Linked DNA regions of Mus musculus: regions 1, 2, 3, 5, 6 and 7 are each reported to be linked to region 4. Evidence: microRNA targets listed by miRTarBase, many of them from high-throughput screens and not tested one by one. Region 4 holds a microRNA gene; each other region holds the end of a gene's coding sequence. Distances are between the middles of the regions.
Evidence for each region. The annotated mature microRNA mmu-miR-3087-3p reads UAACUCACUGUCAUGUCCUCA and lies in region 4 at 1,825-1,845, opposite strand. An mRNA with a match to its seed (bases 2 to 7 or 8) in the 3' UTR can be bound and repressed. Matches are read on the target gene's strand: a 7mer-m8 pairs with bases 2 to 8, a 7mer-A1 pairs with bases 2 to 7 and ends in A, and an 8mer does both.

Region 1: the mRNA of Ccdc85a is a reported target of mmu-miR-3087-3p. Seed matches in the 3' UTR shown: 7mer-A1 at 1,093-1,099.
Region 2: miRTarBase lists Dkc1 as a target of mmu-miR-3087-3p. Seed matches in the 3' UTR shown: 7mer-m8 at 1,951-1,957.
Region 3: the mRNA of Fam20b is a reported target of mmu-miR-3087-3p. Seed matches in the 3' UTR shown: 7mer-m8 at 1,361-1,367.
Region 5: miRTarBase lists Vps72 as a target of mmu-miR-3087-3p. Seed matches in the 3' UTR shown: 7mer-m8 at 617-623.
Region 6: the mRNA of Rasgrp1 is a reported target of mmu-miR-3087-3p. Seed matches in the 3' UTR shown: 7mer-m8 at 1,971-1,977.
Region 7: the mRNA of Lgr5 is a reported target of mmu-miR-3087-3p. Seed matches in the 3' UTR shown: 7mer-m8 at 1,209-1,215.

Annotation. Positions count from the first base shown.
Region 1 is chr11:28,386,374-28,389,455 of GRCm38, forward strand. Ccdc85a (coiled-coil domain containing 85A) reads right to left here. Exons shown (of 5, transcript NM_181577.5): 5 at 1-2,575. The coding sequence ends at 2,486. Among named protein-coding and RNA genes, the nearest start is that of Ccdc85a, 200 kb to the right of the region's middle.
Region 2 is chrX:75,108,352-75,111,433 of GRCm38, reverse strand. It overlaps Dkc1 (dyskeratosis congenita 1, dyskerin), which reads right to left. Exons shown (of 15, transcript NM_001030307.2): 15 at 1,658-2,738. The coding sequence ends at 2,673. Mpp1 (membrane protein, palmitoylated) reads left to right here. Exons shown (of 12, transcript NM_008621.3): 12 at 591-1,701. The coding sequence ends at 767. Among named protein-coding and RNA genes, the nearest start is that of Gm25520, 8.5 kb to the right of the region's middle.
Region 3 is chr1:156,678,662-156,681,743 of GRCm38, forward strand. Fam20b (family with sequence similarity 20, member B) reads right to left here. Exons shown (of 8, transcript NM_145413.4): 8 at 1-2,981. The coding sequence ends at 2,750. Among named protein-coding and RNA genes, the nearest start is that of Tor3a, 5.9 kb to the left of the region's middle.
Region 4 is chr2:25,441,576-25,444,657 of GRCm38, reverse strand. Mir3087 (microRNA 3087) reads right to left here and starts at 1,879; the gene lies at 1,824-1,879. Abca2 (ATP-binding cassette, sub-family A (ABC1), member 2) reads right to left here. Exons shown (of 49, transcript NM_001368624.1): 26 at 3,059-3,082; 27 at 2,547-2,783; 28 at 2,261-2,467; 29 at 1,906-2,008; 30 at 1,504-1,823; 31 at 1,216-1,429; 32 at 1,024-1,129; 33 at 821-932; 34 at 671-731; 35 at 414-588; 36 at 218-333; 37 at 1-136.
Region 5 is chr3:95,122,390-95,125,471 of GRCm38, forward strand. Vps72 (vacuolar protein sorting 72) reads left to right here. Exons shown (of 6, transcript NM_009336.2): 6 at 1-662. The coding sequence ends at 389. Tmod4 (tropomodulin 4) reads left to right here and starts at 2,125. Exons shown (of 10, transcript NM_016712.4): 1 at 2,125-2,189.
Region 6 is chr2:117,279,924-117,283,005 of GRCm38, reverse strand. Rasgrp1 (RAS guanyl releasing protein 1) reads left to right here. Exons shown (of 17, transcript NM_011246.3): 17 at 330-3,023. The coding sequence ends at 464. Among named protein-coding and RNA genes, the nearest start is that of Fam98b, 32 kb to the right of the region's middle.
Region 7 is chr10:115,449,506-115,452,581 of GRCm38, reverse strand. Lgr5 (leucine rich repeat containing G protein coupled receptor 5) reads left to right here. Exons shown (of 18, transcript NM_010195.2): 18 at 1-2,268. The coding sequence ends at 568. Among named protein-coding and RNA genes, the nearest start is that of Zfc3h1, 66 kb to the right of the region's middle.

The sequences.
Region 1 (3,082 bases), not on the chromosome of region 4:
CTGAGATATTATTCATCCTTGTATGTCTTGAGAATCCCGAAGAACCATGGTTGGCTAGCCCAAAATTGTATGGCAGTGGTAGGCATCACTAAATATTCACTGAACTAAGGGGAAATCATACCAATTAAACTCTTGGAATGTCACATGAGCTGACAAATTCCTACAGAGCTTTAAGCATGTGCTAAAAATGAGAAAGGCATTCATTAAAAGTTAGATTGTGACAGTCTATCAGCATCATGGCAGCTAAAAGTACTGTCAAGACATGTAAATTAGGCTTTGTTGCAGGAATGATTAGATAGTAAATTTATTGAAATGATCCCATAGGAAAACAGTATTACTCATGGGATCAATGTACGCCATTACTTAAAACTGGTATAATGCTCAGCACAGGAAGCCTCATTTTACCATCTTATTAGCAACTTCTAAGAAGCCTTATGTGCTACTATAAAATTTCCCACAAATACATAAAATAATGCTGATTGTTTCAAAACTATTTTAGTATTTCCATTCCAAGTATAAGTTTAAGAACTGAGAATTTTATTAAGAAAATTCAACTGTTCCTAAATCATACTCCTGGAGGCTATAATAGAAAATGGTATAAATTAAGATGTCTCTGACTATTAAGTCCCTCATAAGCATATTTTTAATATGCCTTTTGCATGTCTTTTATTTTGATCTATATTACTACTAGTATCATAATCACACAAGGGATGATATTCAGTGACTATTAGAAATTTATTCTGTTAAGGAAGAACATTTCAAAACAGACAAAAATACTGTGAGATTAAATAATTTATTACTGTTGCTAAGATGAACACATATACTTAATACTCAATTTTATGTGGAACTTTAAAAAAATAGTTTTGATACAGTATCAAAATTTGCACAAGTATTTTGTCAAAAGACCAATGTCCTTTGTATCGCTACTGCAGGATCTACTGCAAGCACAAAAATTTGTTTAAATATCTTCAGACTGTAGGAATACAACAATTGAAGGATGTTTCTGTGTGAGAAAGTATGTGTGTGTGTGTGTGTAACAATTTTCTCTTAGACACTAAAACTATAGCAGTTTAAAGGAAGAGTCTTAAATTATAACTCAGTAATGATAATTAGAAAGATGATTCTATGTTAAATGAACCCATAAATATTTTCAGAAGATAGAGGGCGGTTTTGGAAGTAGCAATTAGGTATTTTTACTATGGCAAATTTCTTCTCATTCTCCTGCCAATGTTCATTAATAAATTATATAATAAAACCATTTCATTTATAGACAACAAAGAATATTGACTGTGAATCAAATCATAAGTTTAGAAGCTATCCAGGAATTGTTGCATCCCTACTTTATAATCTTAAACTATGGTAAAAACAGCATTCTGTCACAGGCCTCTTGAACATTCATACAAGAAACGATCATTAAATTTAGATAAACACAAAATATCATAGCATTTCCAGTACACACATTCTAATATTATACATCTATACCACTAGGCAGAAAACTAGCAAAGCTGGCACACATCTCAAGCAATCTGAAAAGAGTATTTAGCCTCAATAATGGACATGCGTTAGCCTCCTAAGACATTAGATAGCTGCAGTGATATGCAAAGAAAGCTTCTGTTTCCTAGGGCAGTGCAAGACTTTAAAGTTTACATAAAGTTTATTAAGTATACAGCATGTCTAAAAACTAAGTTGTAGAAACAGACAATGTCACAGCTTGAAACTCCTAGAAAAATTAATTATGTTTGTTTCCTTGTTAGTTGACATTGGTAAGTTGAATATATATGAAGGGTTGTATGGTCCAAAGACATGCCTTTATAAACAACTCATCAAAATTAAATTATTTATCTTGACCAAATGAAAATAAATGATACTCTCTGCTAAGCATTTTTAAAAATTCCTCCTACCTTTCTAGCTGGTAAAATATTTTGTGTTATTTTTTAGCACCTCAGAATTCAAATGAGAAAACCAAATGTTATCTTGCATCCAACTAAATTTGCATCAGGAAGCAATCTTTCCTCAACTGCTATATATATGAGGGAGCTTCCCAACCCAGGTTGTATGCTCAAAAATACTTTTTCATATCTTCCACACAGTAGAAAGCTCCTACCATTAGATATAATGAACCACCTCTATCAAAGCCACAGGGACTCTACTGGACTCATCCAACCATGCAGACTACCCAATATGTCAATCATGGTTGTGAAGAGTCAAAAACATTTCAGCTTTCATGAAATTAATACTTTCATTAATACTAAAACGATTTTCCAAAGCTACCTTGAGACTGCTATGAACACTAAAGTTGAGACTTATAGCACATATTAGCTGTATGGGAGAAGGTACACTAAAGGATTTAGAAGGGAGATATGAGCAATGTACAATCACTCCATGTGATGTCATGAGTTTTATTTTGTAGAAACTGAATTTCTTCTTTGTCTTCTTTTTCTGCTGTCTCTAGTAGTGATGATGTCATGTTTGAAGGCAGTGCTTTTCACATAGGCCCTTTGTACTGGTTTCCTGACAAATGTTGCCTAATTCCAGGACAGGAGCCTGCAGCATCTCCAAGTTTCCTCCACACAACCTTAAAAAAAAAAGAGGTGAGTAAAATTAGGTGTTATCTTGCAGAAACAGATGTGATTTTCAGAGAAGACTATGAGAGGTTCAAAGATGGGTGCAAAGACGAGACAGACTCTCCACATGGGTGGGTTGAAACACAAAGTAAAGCATGATAGTGACAACTTTGTGATGGTGACAACTTTTGAAACCCAAGAACTTGTCAGCAGCTAGGGTGCTATACTTTACTCCAGCAACCAGGGCTGGTATTTTAAAAAGACATAACATCTCATGCTAGCTATCTGAGTGGTCCTCAGCCCTGAGTTAACAGTAATCACCACATGCAGAAATTCTGAGGATGCTGGCAGAAAGGAGGTAGTGGTATCTGTATATTTAATTAAAGTTCCCAAAGTAATTTCCATGTGCATTTAGAATCAAGACCCCTTGGTTAAAAGAGCAAACTGGCTTCTATAAAATACAGCTATAACAAGAGATGCAATGTCTAATTCATTTAGAAAAGTCAGTTTGTATTCTT
Region 2 (3,082 bases), not on the chromosome of region 4:
CTGGAGTTCAAAGGCAGTCGAGTCAATAAGACTGCCACACACACTTATTAAAAGTTATTTGTATTGCTTGTATATCTGGCCATATCCTTAGCTCATGTTTCCATTGAGTTAGTGACTTCATCTAAGAATTCTATATTATGGTACTTCCCTGTAATGAAAGTTACAAATATCCCCACCACCACTATGACACATATTTCTCTATCCTTTTGCCTTTATGTAGTTAACTGACCATTGGAGCCAGAGGCTTGAGACTTGTCAATAAACTTTCTCCCTTATCCTTGGATTATAGCTGTAGTAGTTGCTAAAATGGCTTTTCCATAAACAAAGGGCTAAAACTAAGTGAATGCTAGTGAAGGCTGTGCTAGGTAATTAGGGTTAGTTTGGCATTCATTAGAATAGTTAAGTGGTTCTCAACCCCTTTGGCAAACATTATATTCTTAATTGGTTACCTAGCAGATACTAGGCCACAGGATGGATCACCACCATGCAAAAAAACAGATGGGGAACCAGTTAATGTAAACTTGTTTAAATCTTCCCTTTGCTGCTGTGATTAAAGACTGCTGCTTCATCTATGGCTTTCTTCTTTGCAGACTGAAGCCCTGCAGCAGCTGCAGAAGGACTCTGAGGCCATCCGTAGTCAGTATGCTCATTACTTTGACCTCTCTTTGGTGAATAATAGTGTTGATGAAACTCTTAAGAAATTGCAAGAAGCCTTTGACCAGGCTTGCAGTTCTCCACAGTGGGTGCCTGTCTCCTGGGTTTACTAAGCTTACAGAATTGGCAAACATGTTTCAGCCAGCATTTGGAATGCCACCTCCCCGCACCCCCTCCCTTGCTTAAGCCAAAAGGGTTGCTTCAACTTTTAGCTCTGCTGTTTTCTTACTCAGGCTCCTAAAGGGGTGAAGCTTTCCTACTATCTACATTTCAAAATGATCTCTGGAAAATTGCCATAAGAATAACCAAATGCAATGCTACATAGATAAACCAACTGTCCCCCTGAAGCCTGAGCTCCTTTGCTTTCAACTATAGAATGTCTTTTTACTCTGGAATAAATATCTTCTGAAAACTTTCTAAAATGCCAAAATCAAACAGCTGTGCAATAGAATGTCTGCTGTAGGGAAAATCTTCCAAAGCAATAAAAATGCTGCTGTGTTAAAGTACCCGTGACCCTGTAACTCCATTCCCAATCTTAACCTTCCAAGCAATGACATTAACATAAGATCTCTGGGAATTACCTGTCACTGCCTCTATAGGTCTGGTATTCACAATGCACAAAGGCGTCTTCTCTAGGACTTGTTAAGTCGTAAGAGAATGGTTTAAAACATGTTACAAAAGCAGGGGCTGTTTGGGCATTCTATACCTGCCTATGCTATTAACAATTTCCCCTAAAACTTGTGTTTATATTCTTGGTTTTGGGCACATATTTAAGCAAAGTTCCCTGCTCCCTCTGCAGTCAACACCAAAACTGGCAGTTTCCTACCTGGAGTACCTCCAACCTCTTCACAAGCCCAGTACAATATAAATGCATCTACCCCTTTCCTCTTAACCCTGGATTAGTAATGATCTCCCTTGAGAGCAGATAGGCCCCAGTGCCAATGTAAGAAAGACTCAGAATTAGGAAATTTAAAAGTAGCCAAAGGAAAAGCAAATTCAAAATAGGACATAAACCTCAGACTTTTAATAAAAATATTCTCTCACTTTTGTTGCCAGTCCAAGATTATCATAGTAAATCTAACAGGAATACTTTTTAAAAAAAAAAAAACTACAAATTACATTCTTCAGCAATGAACAATTCCATTCTGAACAATTCCATTCTTTTTTTTTTCTTTTTTTGTTTTTTTGTTTTTTTTTTTGTTTTTTTTGTTTTTTGGTTTTTTTGTTTTGTTTTTTGTTTTTTTGGTTTTTTTTTTTTCGAGACAGGGTTTCTCTGTATAGCCTGGACTGTCCTGGAACTCACTCTGTAGACCAGGCTGGCTTTGAACTCAGAAATCCACCTGCCTCTGCCTCCCAAGTGCTGGGATTAAAGGCATGCGCCACCACGCCCGGCAATTCCATTCTTTAAAAGAAAACAAATAGGAAGGTACAGGAATGCTTTGGCTTCCATAAGAAACACAAGTAGCCATATAGAGAAATCCTGTTGTACACAAAAATACAGAGTACTAGCCTAAATATCATAGATACCACCAGGCAAGGTTAATACCTGAATAGAGCAGTCCTCATAGAACACTGGAGATAAGAGTCCCCCAGTGAACATAGTTCAATTACATTTTTTCTCTCACAGAAGGTTCTATACCATTTTATGTAGCAGATTTAATTTTTACCAACTTTTTAAAAAGCAAAGTAGGAGAGGACTATCTATGGCATTGTTGAAAATGCTCATTAGTAAATAGCTGCAGATAGTTACTAGGCCATGCCATGTCTAAAGGTGTGGCTTCCTCAAGCAAGCAGAGGGGTTGGTGGCAAAGGCCTGATTTTATCTCTCATATCCTTAAAACAGGACAGGATGGGATGAGATGGCCACACCAGCTAACCACTGAGGTCACAAGTGGCAGCTAAAAGTATACCAGAACTTTCTACTCTGGGACCTCTGTTCTCCCTCAACAAAAAGTTTTTCCAATAAGGCTTTTCTTTTTCTTCCCAGCTGGACATAATGCTTCCAGAAGTGGCTTAAACTATTCAGACATCTCTTCTACCACTTTTACTTTCTTCTTCTTTTTCTTTTTGGTGGTGTCGTTGTCCTAAAGAAAGAGAAAGTAAAAGTAAGTTCAATGTACCCACTGACAAAACATTTATGACTACTGTTCCCAAAAGAAATCTGACAAATTGCACAGTCAAGTCTGTTCAAAAATCTAAGACATTTGGGGTTAAACAAATTTTGCCTGTGACCTTCTCGGTGAAGTCTTAGAGAGATCTACTTAATACACCTTCCCTACCCAGCAGCAACATAATTCAACCATGATCCACTGTTCTGAAAGGCTGGGTGCCCCTACTTCTGTGTCCAAGAAGGTAGACAAGGCAAATCTAGAACACAGGGCAGCACCAAAAAAGGCAATGGTAGGAACCCCACTCTCGCACAATTCCT
Region 3 (3,082 bases), not on the chromosome of region 4:
AACAAGGGTGGTGATGCCCACACCACCCTTTAGACAAATAAATTAGCTTCCCAGGAAGTTGCTCCCAGCTTCCCCCAGGAGTTTATGAGGACCACCTTAGGTCCTAAGAACCAGTGACAGCAGTGTCAGCCCGTTCACCACCCAGACTAGAGAAAGAAGGGGAGAAGAGCCTCCCCCACGGAGTGTGTCACCTGCTAGCAGGCTGCTCGGCTATGCGCGATGCACATTCTAACCTTACTAGCCAAGTCCTTTCTCGGTGCAGCCACTCAGTACTTCCTTGTGTCAAAGCAAGAACATTTTCCCACGTTAACCCAAACCTCCACCTCCTATCCTGAAACCCTGACCACAGGACTCACGGGAGTGTGCCGACAGCAGGTGCTATGATCACAAGATAATCAGAGATCCAGGAAGGAAAGGGAAGGGAGGCTGAAGGAACAGGAAGCAGGGGATAAGAAGACAAAGTGTGATAGCTTTAAAGAAAATGTGAGTTTCTTTGGATGGCAATGCTGTCTTCAGCACTGGGGAAACCGAGAAACTGTCAGGGTCCACTTTGCTGAATAACCTATAATGAACACACACCTGAATTTCTGTTTTCTTCTAAAAATTTAGTCTGACACTTTAACCCTGAGTGCAAACAGGGAGACATACCTTAAAAAATACCAAACCTCTTCAGCAAATCAGAGCCTGTTGTTTTAAAGGTGAGTTACTTATAGCTCTCCCCGAAGTACAATGAAGCCTTAGATGACTAAACAGTTTGAGAATAAAAATTCTATATTCAAATCTCTCCCATCTCAACTTCAGAACACATATACTTAAGAAGTGAAAGCAAAGGAGGAAAGAGCAATGGATTCGGAGTTCCTGGTTTTGTATTAAATGCCTCCATCTCTGTGGATGTTCAATCAGTAAAGCTAATTTGGAGCCCACCAGAATCCCCCAGTGCCTTGGATGTAATAGTCCTAATCTAGTAAATGACCCAAAAAGAGGCCGGCGTTACAATACTTACTGCCCGAGTGTGAAACACAGTGTGAGGCGGCTTTTCTCTAACTGCTCGGAGCAGCTTTCCTGCCTGTTCTTTTCCGCAGAAAACATGACGAGTACGGCTGCTTGCCTGGGAACAATCCCTACTCACTTCACCAGTGTGCAATGGAATGCTGAGCCACAGCTTAGTCAGCACGGAAGTCCACCACTCTGCTGGCTCCCAGCATAAAGTGCTAATAACCATGCTAATCTCAGAATTCAACTGAATTTTCTTGATGTACACAGCAAGTAGCCTGGAAACTGGACTTAATACCTCCTTTTGTTTTTGCTTTATTTTTTGGGTTTGGTCCTAGAACTTACTCTGTAGACCAGGCTGGCCTTGAACTCACAGAGATCTGACTGCCTCTACCTCCCAAATGCCAGGATTAAAGGTGTGCGTGTCACCACTGCCTGGCTCAATATCTCCTTTTGTTAACACTATTTTAGTGTTTTGTGCTAATATTTGTTTTCTGAAGTTCAATATCCCGAGTTTAAAAAAAGAAATATGCAGTATATTCCTTAATCTACCGCAAAGTGTACATTAAATGTACAAGTTTCCTAATTTCAAGCCATTTAAAAGTGGTTACAGGCTACTAGATTTGAATGTGAGAGACTAGGGGGTATAAACTCAATCTCCCCAGTCTCGAGGCTCAGAGGCTTAAAAGCTTTCACTGTTACCTGCAGGGTGCAGTCACCGGCACAGACAAGGTCACCACTGTCCTAGGAAGAGCGCCATTACAGGCCAGTTACTCACAGGGTATGACTTCACGAGAGAAGAGAGAGCTGGGCATGTTGGTTCATACCTATAATCCTAGCATGTGGAAGGCTAAGGCCAGTTCAAAGCCTGGGCTATACAGTAAGCTCCAGATCAGCCTGGGCTAGAGTCTATGGTCTACCTCAAAATGAACAATGCCAAAGAGAGAAAAAGAAAAAGCGTGGGGGGCAGGTGGCAGAGAGCACAGTTTCAGTGTTTTTGGGCAAAGGTGGACATGGGGTAAGTTAGTGTCCATAGAGGATCATGCCTGGGTTGTAATACTCTTTCCTCTAGAGATGATTGTGGTTAATATGAACACAACCGGGGGATGACTAATTTGCTCTGGACATATCTGAGAACCTAAACAGAGGGGAAGCTGTCTTTCACTAAGTCAATTATCTTCCTGGTTCTAAAGAGTGAGTCCCTCCCTCTTCTCTTCCCTGAGATGTCAAATCCATGCCACCCAATAGCTTAGAGTCCCAAGACCTTTCCGCCTTTCCCCTCCTCCAATCTCCCTTAAACACGGCCCCCGGTGCGGACCGCTATCCTGTCTAACGCCGCTCTGGAGGAACAGTATGGTTTCAATCTGACTAGTTCTGGTTTTTGTTTTTGTGTTTTTTTAAGACACAAGGAACTGCAAAGTATTTTCAGAGAATCCATGGGTGTAGAGAAAAGACAGCAAGGGTCACCCGAGACGCACACTCTGGAAACACTTCCTTAGCCAATGTCACACCTGCTCGCCCTTTGGTGTGGGAATAAAGACTGAGCAGAGCTGCTGCTGGCCGCCTGAGAGGTGAGGCAGCCTAACTGTGGTCCGTAGCTTGCACTGCAGAAAACACCGAGCACTCCCAGGGCCGCCACCGTCTTCTGCCACCAGCACCCACTGTGGCCACCTGCAGACCATCGCATGCCATTTGGAATTGATTGTGCTGTTTCTCTATCTTTGTAAAATCAGTTCCACTTGTTTTGCGTTGAGAATTACAAGTGGGAGAGTGGCATCCTGTCTTCCACCAGCACAGTATCCGTCCCAAACTGGTCAGTACACTGCTTGATGGTGGCCAAGACATTCAGAAGCCGCTGGTCCACAGTGTCCAAGTGTGGATCGGAGAGCACAGGGGAGATGGGGTCATGGGCCATGGCAGATTTTAAGGCAGACTTTAGTACTCCATTCTTTAGATAATTCAGTCTATTCCAGGTTGAAACCCGAATGCTGGAAGAAAAAGTTTAAAAAAGAAATTACATAACATCTTAATATTCAATTCATGCTATGAAAGGTTTTTGTTTGTCTGTTTCTTTGAATCGCCTCTATTT
Region 4 (3,082 bases):
AAAAAGCTGCAGAAGGAAAGTGGCCACCGTGGCTGTGATGCCGATGAAGAGGTTGATGACGATGAGGAACACGTAGGCTGAGCTAGGGACCTCAAACCAGAAGGAGGCTGGGTACATGATGGGTGTGATGGACCACCTGTGGACAAACAGTGGTGGTCACAGGGCACCCCCAGCCACACCCACAACCATACATGCTCCACACCCCTCCCCAGCTCACCCATAGAGCAGGAACAAGGAGAGCACCGCGGGGAAGTTGGTGGGTGATGTGTAGGCAGGTAAGTCAAAGACAAAGAGGATGATCACGCAGCAGGTGGCTGGGACCAGGTAATTGAGCTGCAAAGGTGAAGGTGGAGGATGAGACCCGGGCGTAGGGATGGGAGTCAGGGACAGGGAGGGACCATGCGGGGGCACACCATGTCCCACACGTAGTTGGCCAGCCAGTAGATGACAGGGTTGCACCCGCTGACGAACTGCAGGTGTTTGGCCTTGGTGGATTTCTCTGCCACAAGGAAGACCACAAAGCTGGCTGGCACGAAGGACATGGCCACAATGATGAAGATGGCGATGACCACATCTGTGCCCTGCAGTCTAGAAGGGGACAGCACTCAGTTCCAGGAGGTGTCAGGACGAGGTGGTCCTGCCCCTCCTCAACTTGGTCTGCCTCACTCACAGGTAATCCAGGGAGAGGCTAGCACTGGTCTTGTTCATGGGGTGGTTGGTGACGGTGATGCCTGCACACGGGAAAAGGGTAGCTTTAGGTCCATGCAACCATTCGGCTCAGCTGCATCCCTGCCTGTCCTTCAACCCTGATTCTCCTTACCATAGGCTGCTGGATTGCCCTTGCTTTTGGGTAGGTTTGCACGCAGAATGGCATTGTTGAGGCTGTTGAGGTAGGTGGGCATGCTGTGGTAGCCCTTGTTATTGTAGAGCACCTGGGGAGGGGCAAGGACCTCAGAGAGGCTCAGAAACCAAAAGTTATTAGGCTTAGGACCAGGTGCCCAAAACCCAAGGGCAGCCGCCTACCTGAGCCACCCTCCGCACTGCAATCTTCCGCACCATAGGAGGGACCCGGGCACCAAAGGATGCTGGGATAGACTTCTGAACATTACCAAAGGTGATGGCTCCATATCTGTACAAGACAGGTGGGAGGGTCACTGAGGCTCGGCAGCCATCTGCCAGGCACCCCTTGTTCACAGCCACTTCAGGCCAACTTACCGGTGTAGTCGGAAACGGTCAGAGGTGAAGAGCAGGTACTCAGAAACATTGTGGCCAGTGATGTCAGTCAGGATGTCACCTGTGACCACTCTCATCTGGGGTGGGTGTCCACCCACACTGCTGGGGCATGAGAACCCCGTGCCCTGTGCAGAGCAGGTACAGCGGACTGGCTCATGCACTAGGCGTGGCAGAGAAGGCGCCGACGTCCACGTCTCTGTGGGCACAGTGCAGCACAATGAGATGGGTCACTCATGCCTGTGCCCCCCGGAGCCTTCCCTGAGGTAGTACCTGGCCCAGCAGTAGGTGGCAGGGACATGTTCCAGGCTTGCAGTGAATCCTCATCTGGGGACACGGGTGAGTCAGAAGGGGCGGGTGAGGGCGGAGGTGGCACGAAGTTGGACAGTGGCAGCCCCTGTGTGAAGGACTCCAGGCACATACTGTCGAAGAACCGTGCCGCCAGCAGGCGGGACTCTCCACTGCTTAAGTTCAGCATGGGTCCCAGGGAGCCGTTGGCAGGAGACTTGAGCACACAAGTGGCACCCACACCAGAGGGCAGCCGGAATGTGCTCACCAGCTGCTGGGGGCTGGCATCAGGTGACAGCCGTAATCTGAGGACATGACAGTGAGTTAGGAGCCATAAGTCTCAACTCTTGCCCTGCCCTGTGCTACAGCCCCAGCCCACGGCCTCACCGGTACTCCTGGCGTTCCTCATTGGCATAAGGGATAAAGTTGCCACGGGGCTGGGTGTAGTTGTGGTACTGAGAGGGTGACAGGACCAGTGGAGGTAGGTCACCTGATGGGTGAATACGGAGACCTGAGCAGACTGCAGTTATCTGATGCCAGCCCCAGCCCTAACACAGAGAGGGCTGAGCTTGTGGGGATGACTCCTAAGGAGACAGATCCTCTCATGAGCCCCTGAGTAAGGTTCAGAGTGTGAGGAGAGGAGCTCAGGACTGTTCTACAGGGGGCTGGGAGAAAAATGAAGCCAAGACCCAGGGGCAAGACAGTAGCCTCGCCCCAGACCACATGGGCCAGGCACCCTTACCAATCTCAGGGACAGACAACGCCACAGTCATGGCCACACAGACAAAGAAGGCAGGCAGCAGAATCTGAGAGCAGAGAGCTTTGGAGTTCCGACGAGCACAGTGGAAGCGCTTCACCAGGAGCCCATGGAACTGCCGCATCTTCAGCCACCAGCCCTCGAGTTTGCGGCTGCCCTGGCCCACCTGAGCCAGGGCCTCCATCTCTGCCTCTGTGCAGAGAGGCAGAGGTAAATAGCCAGTCCCACGCCACCCTTCTGGACCCTCCCCAGTTTCCCCATTGGCTTCCACCTTGTAAGCTGACATTGTCTGGGTCCTGCAAGTTGTCAAAGAGGGGACGGTAGTCACCGTAGCCATCAGAGTAGCCGGTGCCCTCCTCCCCACGGGCAGAGCCCACAGAGGATGCAGACTGCAGCGATGCCTGTGACTGTGCCAGCTCTGAGCACCGAGCCAGGTTGCCAGCTTGACCCCCCACAGCTGTCAGGCCCTCTGCCCCAGGCAGCACATCCTTCCGGGACTCCTTCACATCTGCAAACAACAGAGGCGGTGAGGGAGGGAAGGCTTGGGCCAAGGCTCTCCTCTCCAGGACATCTTAGTACCTCAGTCCCTAGTGTCCTCCCATAACCCCAGGCCCTGCCTTGATCCCAGCCTCTAATTCACATACCTACTCACAGGTAGGCAGAGCTACCATACCATCCACCACGAGCCTATCCTGACCCCACTTCCAGAGACTTACAGAGAAGCAGTGTCCCCAGGGCCTTCTGTGGGTAGCTGGACAGACCGCCAGCCTTGGGTGCTCTTACCAGCCTCGCTGTTCTCCAGTGACT
Region 5 (3,082 bases), not on the chromosome of region 4:
CTCCTACAGCCTCTGCACTGGCTCCACATGCTGGGACCGGGACTGGAGCTGCCGCTGCCACCCCTCCTGCTCACTGCTCTCGCACCTTCATCACGTTCAGTGATGATGCAACGTTTGAAGAGTGGTTCCCCCAGGGGCGACCCCCGAAGGTCCCGGTGCGGGAGGTCTGCCCAGTGACCCACCGTCCAGCTTTGTACCGGGACCCTGTTACAGACATACCCTATGCCACTGCTAGAGCCTTCAAGATCATCCGTGAGGCGTACAAGAAGTACATCACTGCCCACGGACTTCCACCCACCGCCTCGGCGCTGGGCCCCGGGCCCCCACCCCCCGAGCCACTACCTGGCTCTGGGCCTCGAGCCTTGCGTCAGAAGATTGTCATCAAATAGAGACACCTGACCCCTAGACAGTCCCTCTCCTGACCTGGCTCTCCACTCCGCCCTCCCTTCTGCCAACCTTCGCCCTTGTTTCCCTCAGTTCCTCCCTAGTTCATTTCATTTACTTGTGCTCTTCATTTTTTTAATCTAATAAAATGGTAAAATCCTTTTTGTCTGATGTGTAAGGTTGGGGCAGAGGCAGGGGGATTTCTGAGTTCGAGGCCAACCTGGTCTACAGAGTGAGTTCCAGGACAGCCAGGGCTAAACAGACAAATCCTGTCTTGGAAAAAAAAAAAAACAAATAAATAAATAAATAAACCACAAGTTCTTGCTAATTTATCCAGACTAATTTCAGACTCCTGGGCTCAAGCAAGCCTCCCATGTCAACCTTCCAAGCGCTGGGCCTAGAGGGGTAAATCACTGTTCCTGCTCTGTCCTTTTAAGTAGCATGTATTTACTAAGTAGTGGGTGTCATAAAGATGCCTGCACTCATGTCTATCATTTTTATTACACTTACCTGGGTTATCCATATTTAACTCTCTTAGTCTGTCTTAGTCAGGGTTCCTATTCCTGCACAAACATCATGACCAATAAGCAAGTTGAGGAGGAAAAGGTTTATTCAGCTTATACTTTCCACATTGCTGTTAATCACCAAAGGAAGTCAAGCAGGTCAGGGAGCAGGAGCTGATGCAGAGGCCATGGAGGGATGTTACTGGCTTGCTCAGTTTGCTCTCTTACAGAACCCAAGACTACCAGCCCAGAGATGGTCCCACCCACAAGGGGCCTTTCCCCCTTGTTCACTAATTGAGAAAATGCCTTACAGCTGGATCTCATGGAGGCATTTCTTCAACTGAAGCTCCTTTCTCCATGATAACTCCAGCCTGTGTCAAATTGACACATAAAACCAGCCAGTACATAGTCTCTTAAATACCAGAACAAAATCCTTACACTGAGTGTGTGTGTCTCTGTATGTGTCTATGTATACAACCACGTGTCGGGTGGTGCACCTATGCAGAGGCCAGGCAGGGTCATCTGTAATTCCACCTATCCTTTGAGACAGGCTCTCTTTCTGAACCTGGGCTCCTGTTCTCTAGGCTATCAGGAGCCAGCAAGCCCCCAATGTTCCTGTGTCTGCCACCCTGTTATGCTGTTATGTAGGTGCGGGGACCTCACAATTGTGCAGCAGTCTTAACCACCTGAGACCTCTCTCTCTCTCGTTTTTTCAGGACATGGTTTCTCTAGCCCTGGCTGTCCTGGAACTTGTTCTGTAGACCAGGTTGGACCTTGAACTCAGAAATCTGCCTGTCTCTGCCTCCCAAGTGCTACGATTAAAGGCATGTGCCCCCTCTCCCTTTTAAAAAAGTTAAAAAGGAAAAAAAAATTACTACAAGGCTTTGAGCTCACCATGAAGTTCATGCTGCTCTCCGTCTTGTAGCAGTCCTATCTTAGTGTCCCCTGTCAAGGGAATTCAGGTGTGAGGCACAATGGCTGTTACATTGATACATCATCTTCTATTCAGTGCTTTGAGCAGAACTGGTACCCTACCGTAGGAGTCATCTGATTCTCCACTGGAGGACTCTGCTTGCAGGGAAAGAGGACATGTCATGGCTGATACTGGCCACTAGAGGCTCTCAGGGCTGGGCAAGGTATGGGGTCTGTGTATATGTGATCTCCCACCACTCCCCACCTGGCCAGAGCTAAAATAATAAAATGCTGAGCTCACTGTTCCCCCACGCTCTCCCCCGGCACCAGACTCCTCCTGCTGACCGGACAGTGTCCCAGTAGAACAGACGGACCAACTGACAAGGGGAGGTGAGAGGTGACCATTGGGACTGGTAGGTGGGAACAAGGGGTCTTACGGGTGAGAGCCTGGTGGGAGATGGCAGAGTGGGCCTAGGGGAAGAGAGTTGGCATGTCTCTGCTGTGTCCTGCCGCCGATGTTTCTGTCTTGACTCTGTAGCTGCCTTGTCAGTGCCTCACGCTCAGTATCACCTTCCATGTTGAGTGTGGTATGTATTTAGAGCTTGACTGTTTTTCCCACTGAAAGGTGGTGCAAGTTTATCATCCCACCTCCTCATTTAGAAGACTTTTTTTTCTTCTTCTTCTTCTTTTACCCAGGGTTCCAGTGTCACCTTTCTGGTGACAGATTATGGGAACCGAATGCCTTCTGAGGCCACACTGCCCTTCCCCCAATCTGGAAGTGCCCCAGCTTCTAAGCCTTACTTTCCCTTCTGATTTAGACTTTTAGCAAACACAGAAAGTGAGGTCTTGGTCCTTGACAATGAAGGAGGGAGTGAGGGTGTCATTAGAGGCAACCACTCTAACCCAGTCAAGCCTCCTTGCTTACCAGTTTCCAACAGGCCTGGGTAATGGGGAAGAAAGGAGGAATTTTCCTGGAGCTCTCTGCCTCCCCCTCCCACCTTTCAATAGGAACTGGGCGTGGAGCCAGCTGTGCTGGCAGGGCCTCCAGCAGCTGTGTCAGGGCAAGAGACGTTGCCGGGTAAGGTTGTAGGGGAGGGTGCTACCAGGATTTCTCCATCGCACGGTGGGTGGATAGACCCAGCCTGGAGACTAGAATCCCCATCTAGAATGGCTAGAAAGTGCAGGGACTAGGAGGGAAACTAACAGTGAACTATCTGATTTTCCCATCCCTGGCAGACTCTAGTCTCTAAGGTCAGTGTCCTAACTATGGCTGGACTTCTTGT
Region 6 (3,082 bases), 92 Mb from region 4:
CCAGACTACTTTCTGTCAAGTTACGATGCCTGCGTCACACTACCCAAAAGTTGTGGCTTCCTCCACCCAATGCCCAAGAATGGATTGTTCTGTCCTGCTAGCCACTCACATCTGAGATCTGATAACAAAGAGTAATTGCTATTTGTGCATGCCCATGATAGTTAATGTGTTCTTTTATACTCACAGCTAAATAACTGCTTTGAAAATAGTTTATAATTCTTAACCACAGGGAACAGGAGATGCCAATCAAATATAATGCTCTTGATACTGTCACTAATTTCCTATTCACTGCTGCTCTATTACCACACCTTATTCTCATTTCCTTTTAGGAAATAAATACCCTGAAAGCAGATAACGATGCTCTGAAGATCCAACTGAAGTACGCACAGAAGAAAATAGAATCCCTGCAGCTTGGGAAAAGCAATCATGTCTTAGCCCAGATGGACCACGGTGATAGTGCTTAATCCAGAATTTCAAGGACCAGAATCTGCAGGAGGGTATACTGGGATCTCACTTCAAAACTCATTGCAGACGTTCAGCACCTTTAGATTGACTGACTTTAAAAGGGTAGAGCTGGCCACTACTGTTGACATCCTTGGTTTTTACCTAAACGGTTTTTAATGTGAGTCGTTGGTTTTCAGTCAGTTGAATCAAAGGGAAGAAAAGCTCAAGCATGCAAAGTCTGAGCATTCCTATTCTAACCTTCTTTCTTTACTGAAACCAATACCAAACATGCGCTAAAATAAGTCTAGAGTTTCCTGAGGGTGTCCCAGGCAGCCCGCTTTACTGATTCATACTTAGATAAAGAGTCCCTGGTGAATCCATTTGCTGCCTTCCGCAAACTGACTTACTTTGTTCTACCCAAACCCCGCTCATAACGGAAACAATAGCCTAAGCGTGGTGACTTTGACATGCCTGCATTGTTTGTGAAACTGATCCCTACAGTGTTCGCTACCTCAGACCTCATCAAGAGCCTCTTTCCCCACTGTCCTTCACTTGCCCGCCTCCTTCCTCCCTTGCTTATAGGCACATCAGCACATCTACCTAGAAGTGAACTCCTAGCGATGTAGCCTGGTTTTAAATCCAGAGCTTCTTAATTGAACTTGACATTGTCTAATTGCAGGCCAACTTATAGCTCTAGGTCTTAGTCATTATGAAATACAAAATAAAACTCACTCACTACCCACAAACAGCAATTACCATGGCATACACACAGCTAAATAGCTAAGTCAAACCACAATAACACGTTTATCCAGATAGTCTTTCTATAGTGGGTAGAATTAAGAATCTGTGACTTTTTAAAAGAAATGGTCTGTGAACAGTGTTTAATTCTTCATGTTCTAGTCTCTCTCTCTCTCTCTCTCTCAAGTAATCTATCATAAGGTTCTCTTTTGAACTGAATTTGTGCTTAAGTTGTCTTCACTTTTATTATCTACAAATAAGCTAATGGGTGTGACGGCTTTCATAGCTGGCAGTATTTACATGTGTGTAGAATGTATATATATAGTATCAGACATGCATGGAGCTTGGACCTTCTCCCTTAGAAAATGCAGACGTGAATCAAACACCTTTTAGTCACTTACACAAATTTGCAAGTATAGTTCTGCTCATTATAAGGCAAACTGCTAACAATGTAAATTGTTCTGCTTAACAAAACCGTGAGTAACAGTGTCCCAGTATTCTTTCGTGAAGGTTAAAATCAGTGGGTTTGTCTTGTTGCCTGTGAAGCAATTCACAAACTCTCTTGTCAGCTTCCTTTTAGCTTTCAAAAAACATCTCATCTGATTGTGTCCTTTTGAGGAGACTGTTTCCATGCTAGGAAGGTCTGGCACCACACTAACTTGTAATTTAATATGCAAGACAAGCAATTTAAGAGTCTCATCGAACTAAATAAGTTCCAAACCTAGCTGGGCAATGGGGACACATGCCTTTAATCCCAGCACTCGGTGGGTAGAGGCAGGCTGATCTCTGTGAGTTTGAGGCCAGCCTGGTCTACAGAATGAGTTCCAGGACAGCAAGGGATATGCTGAGAAACTCTGTCTGGAAAAATCAAAGGAAAAAGTGTTTAAAAGTTTCAACCCTACGACCAAGAGCATAAAGTCTACAGAGGAATATGAACTGTACATGGTGCTGCCCCCTAAAGGACTCAAATCATTTAAGATATTCCTTTGATGAAAGACCACTGCCTGTTTGCACACCTCTTTGGAGCATTTCAGTGACAAAGAGCTGGCTTGTGGTGAGTGTCTCTCTAAACTTTAATGAACTACTTTACACACAGTTATCCTTCTTCTACATCCCATCTCAGAAACGTGAAAAGCATAGCACCTGGTACTACGCCTCTGGCAGGTGTCTATATTATGTGGAAACTTTTATGGAGTGATAGGACTAATGGAAGACCTCAAAATTTGTATTTTCACTCTGTTATGCACTAGTACAAGTGTAGAGCTTGATTCTTTAGACAATGCCTTTTTCTTATTTCTCATCCCCAATAAAGATCTCCCAGTGAGATTTTGTGTAAATAATCTGTAATATAGGAATTCAGAGGGCCTCAGTCATTTATCACAGCTAGATGACCTTACAGACAGCAGAAAGGACAGGAAAGATAGTGGGAGACAGTAGTTTTCCTCACAAATTCTTACATTCCAGCCAAGACAAAGGATGTGTGAAGTCTGAGTTGGTACTGTTCCTGCAGAATGGTAGGAGCAGGTGGGATCTCCTGATACAATCTGGAACAAAGTTTGGCCTGTCACATGAGGTTTTGTTTACCAGGCTGTCTTGAAATGTCTGGGCAGATGGGTGTCTGCCAAAGCAAGGACTGATCCTGTCTGTGAACAGCAATGTCTCTGCTCTTCTTCTCTGTGGAGTGACTCACCCATTTACTGACCACTTGTGAAATTGTCTAAAGATGTATACTGTAAAAGCTTCGAAAGAACTGTACAAACTGTAAGATATTTTATACCTATTTTATGTTTTCTGTGTCTCATATTTATATCATAAAAACATTGGATCCCTATAACTTCAAAGTCGTGTGCTTCTTCACTTTATACATATGTAGGCATTTTGTTAAACTTTTTACTGGAAT
Region 7 (3,076 bases), not on the chromosome of region 4:
GCCCAGCACCACGGGCTACATGGTGGCTCTCGTGTTGCTCAACTCTCTCTGTTTCCTCATAATGACCATTGCCTACACAAAGCTCTACTGCAGTTTGGAGAAAGGAGAGCTGGAGAATCTTTGGGATTGTTCGATGGTGAAGCACATTGCTCTGTTGCTCTTCGCCAACTGCATCCTTTACTGCCCCGTGGCTTTCTTATCCTTCTCCTCTTTGCTAAACCTCACCTTTATCAGTCCTGACGTCATTAAATTTATACTTCTCGTGATCGTCCCACTTCCTTCCTGTCTCAACCCACTTCTCTACATTGTCTTCAATCCCCATTTTAAGGAGGATATGGGCAGCCTGGGAAAGCATACCCGTTTCTGGATGAGATCAAAACACGCGAGTCTGCTGTCCATTAACTCGGACGATGTTGAGAAACGGTCCTGTGAGTCAACCCAAGCCTTAGTATCCTTTACCCACGCCAGCATAGCCTATGACTTGCCTTCCACTTCCGGGGCATCACCAGCTTACCCCATGACTGAAAGCTGTCATCTCTCTTCAGTTGCATTTGTCCCATGTCTCTAGTGACTATGAGAGAGGAACGTTTTTAAGAGTTGGAAACCTGAAAAGTGATTTCTATCAGAGCAGTAGCTAAGAAAAGCTGAGCTAAAAACCTACCTTAAAACCCAAGCAAACATCTCTAAATTGGTGTGGAAACAGTGGTGCCTTAGAGCAGGAGAGCATCATTAAACACCGCTTGTATCATTTGTTCAGCTAAGAAGGAAAGCCATCAAGTCACTTAGGTGAACCCAGATGAGAAAAGCAGCCTGAAATGCTCTTCGCATTGTAGTCTCTTCTGACTCACCAGCATAGTCTCCCATAGTGAGAAGACTCGTTGGATGACTCAATGGGTGTATTTAAATCCACAAATTCCTTGTTTAAAAGGTTAGAGTTTTAAGAAAAAAAAAAAAAAGGATCTTTAATGGGCTATGTTGCCCACAGAGTTTAGTTTTAATGGCTACACAGAGATGGTTGTGTGTCTTTTTGCCTTTTGACGGACAGGCTCCTTCCAAGACACCAGTTTCTTGGACTGACATTTTTAATCCATATATAAATTTAAGATACTGGCTTCTAAGCCGGGCGTGGCGGCGCGCGCCTTTAATCCCAGCACTTGGGAGGCAGAGGCAGGTGGATTTCTGAGTTCGAGGCCAGCCTGGTCTACAAAGTGAGTTCCAGGACAGCCAGGACTATACAGAGAAACCCCTGTCTCAAAAAACAACAACAACAACAACAACAAAAAGACACTGGGTTATATAGATAAGTATCCAGTGCATTCTCCCTTGCTGAGATAAAACTGGTTTCAAGGTTTTTTGGAACATTAACTTAAATGGTTCCTCGAGCAATTATATATAGGTAAGATTTGGTTATCTTCCTCGAGCAATTATATATAGGTAAGATTTGGTTATCCTGATTCGTCTTTTAAAATCCTGGAGTCTGAAGCTCAGAAAGTTCGTTGTCAGCCGTGGTCATAGCTACGAAAGACAGTATGAAATTGTCGGATCTGTATTTATTTCTGAGTAGGAGCATGCTTCTGGCAAGATGTTCATCACTCTCTCAAATGGCTGTGCATTTTCAGTGCTCAAACGCAGGGCGTTAAGTCCACTGTGTAACTTCACACACCCATCTCTGGTAGCTCGAGCAACAATGCCTCTCCACACTTCGGACTCAACAGAAACTGGGCAAAGTAGGATTCGGTGCATTTAGCTTGGTTTTAGCTGTGTCTTGTTTCCGGATCAACCACTTGATATGAAGTTCATTACTTCTCTGCTTAGTCCATATTCACGCAGGTGTTCGATGTTTCAAGACAAATTGTTAAATCTGGAGAGCGAAAGGTTTATTCTTAACTTCTGTGATCTTACATTAGCTTTGCTGCACCCGAACCAAAAGGCCATTAGGTAGATTTATTTTTATATAAGCATGTTTTATTTTGACCAGATGTTTTAATGTGGAATTTAAAAAAAAATACATTTATGAGATGTTTTATAAGATGTGTACATATAGACTTGTATTTATTGCTACAGGAAAAATGCAGTGACATTAAAGAACATGATAATAAACCATGTACAGTAGCCTATTCTCCCAGACATATTGTTTCTCTGCCAATTTCCCCAATGCATTAACTGTACATAACACATGTAAATACGTAGTGCTTGTAAATAGATCCAGAATTTGCTTTTCTACTGGGCTCAAAATAAATTTGTAATAAAATGTGTGACTTGCAAAACAAACTAGCTCTTTCAAGTGTATTGATTGAGAATGTAGACAAATGCACGATCTTCTAATGTTTTTAAGTACTGGTGTATATATTCCTACCTATTTGTGCTCTAATCCTTTAGATATGTTGGACTCAAATTTTTCATGAGAATGAACCAAAATATATTTTTTAGCTTCTGAATTATCTTCCCTGTAACTCCTAAGTTGTGGCTTTAGTGTAATTTGTTGTCCCCCATGAGGATTTGGATATGATAGTCTACAAACTAGTTTCAAATTTCTTAGTAATATAAGAAAAAAAAACATTTTAAAGCCTAATAAGAAAAACATATGAAAAGCAAACCAATCTTAAATTGTCTAAGGTGTGGACATGTGTATATATCCTAGAGTGGATATATGTGCATATATCCTAGAGTGGATATACACACATTTCATGACCATGTCAAGAACATTCACTCCCAGCATACAATAAAATGCACTGCTACCATTCAGTTCCCATTGCCCAAAACACAGGAAATATAATTTTCTAGACACCCCATGTCAGACTAGCAACTTCAAAAGGCTCTGCCTGTGCCCCCCTGGACTGTATACGATGGAGGACCAGCACGACTGCTATAAGCCAATGCTCACAGCACACTCCCAGGATTGCTGGCACTACCTACCCCATGTCCATCAGACTTAACCGTATCCTGAATCCCAACCCTAGTTAACGGGATCCCGCTGTGCAGTCTGTACTTAATTCATCTTTGGGTAAAATAGGAGCTTCTCCCTCTTGGCTCCATCCCTTCCAACTCAGGTTACAGAGAACACACCTCTACCTTT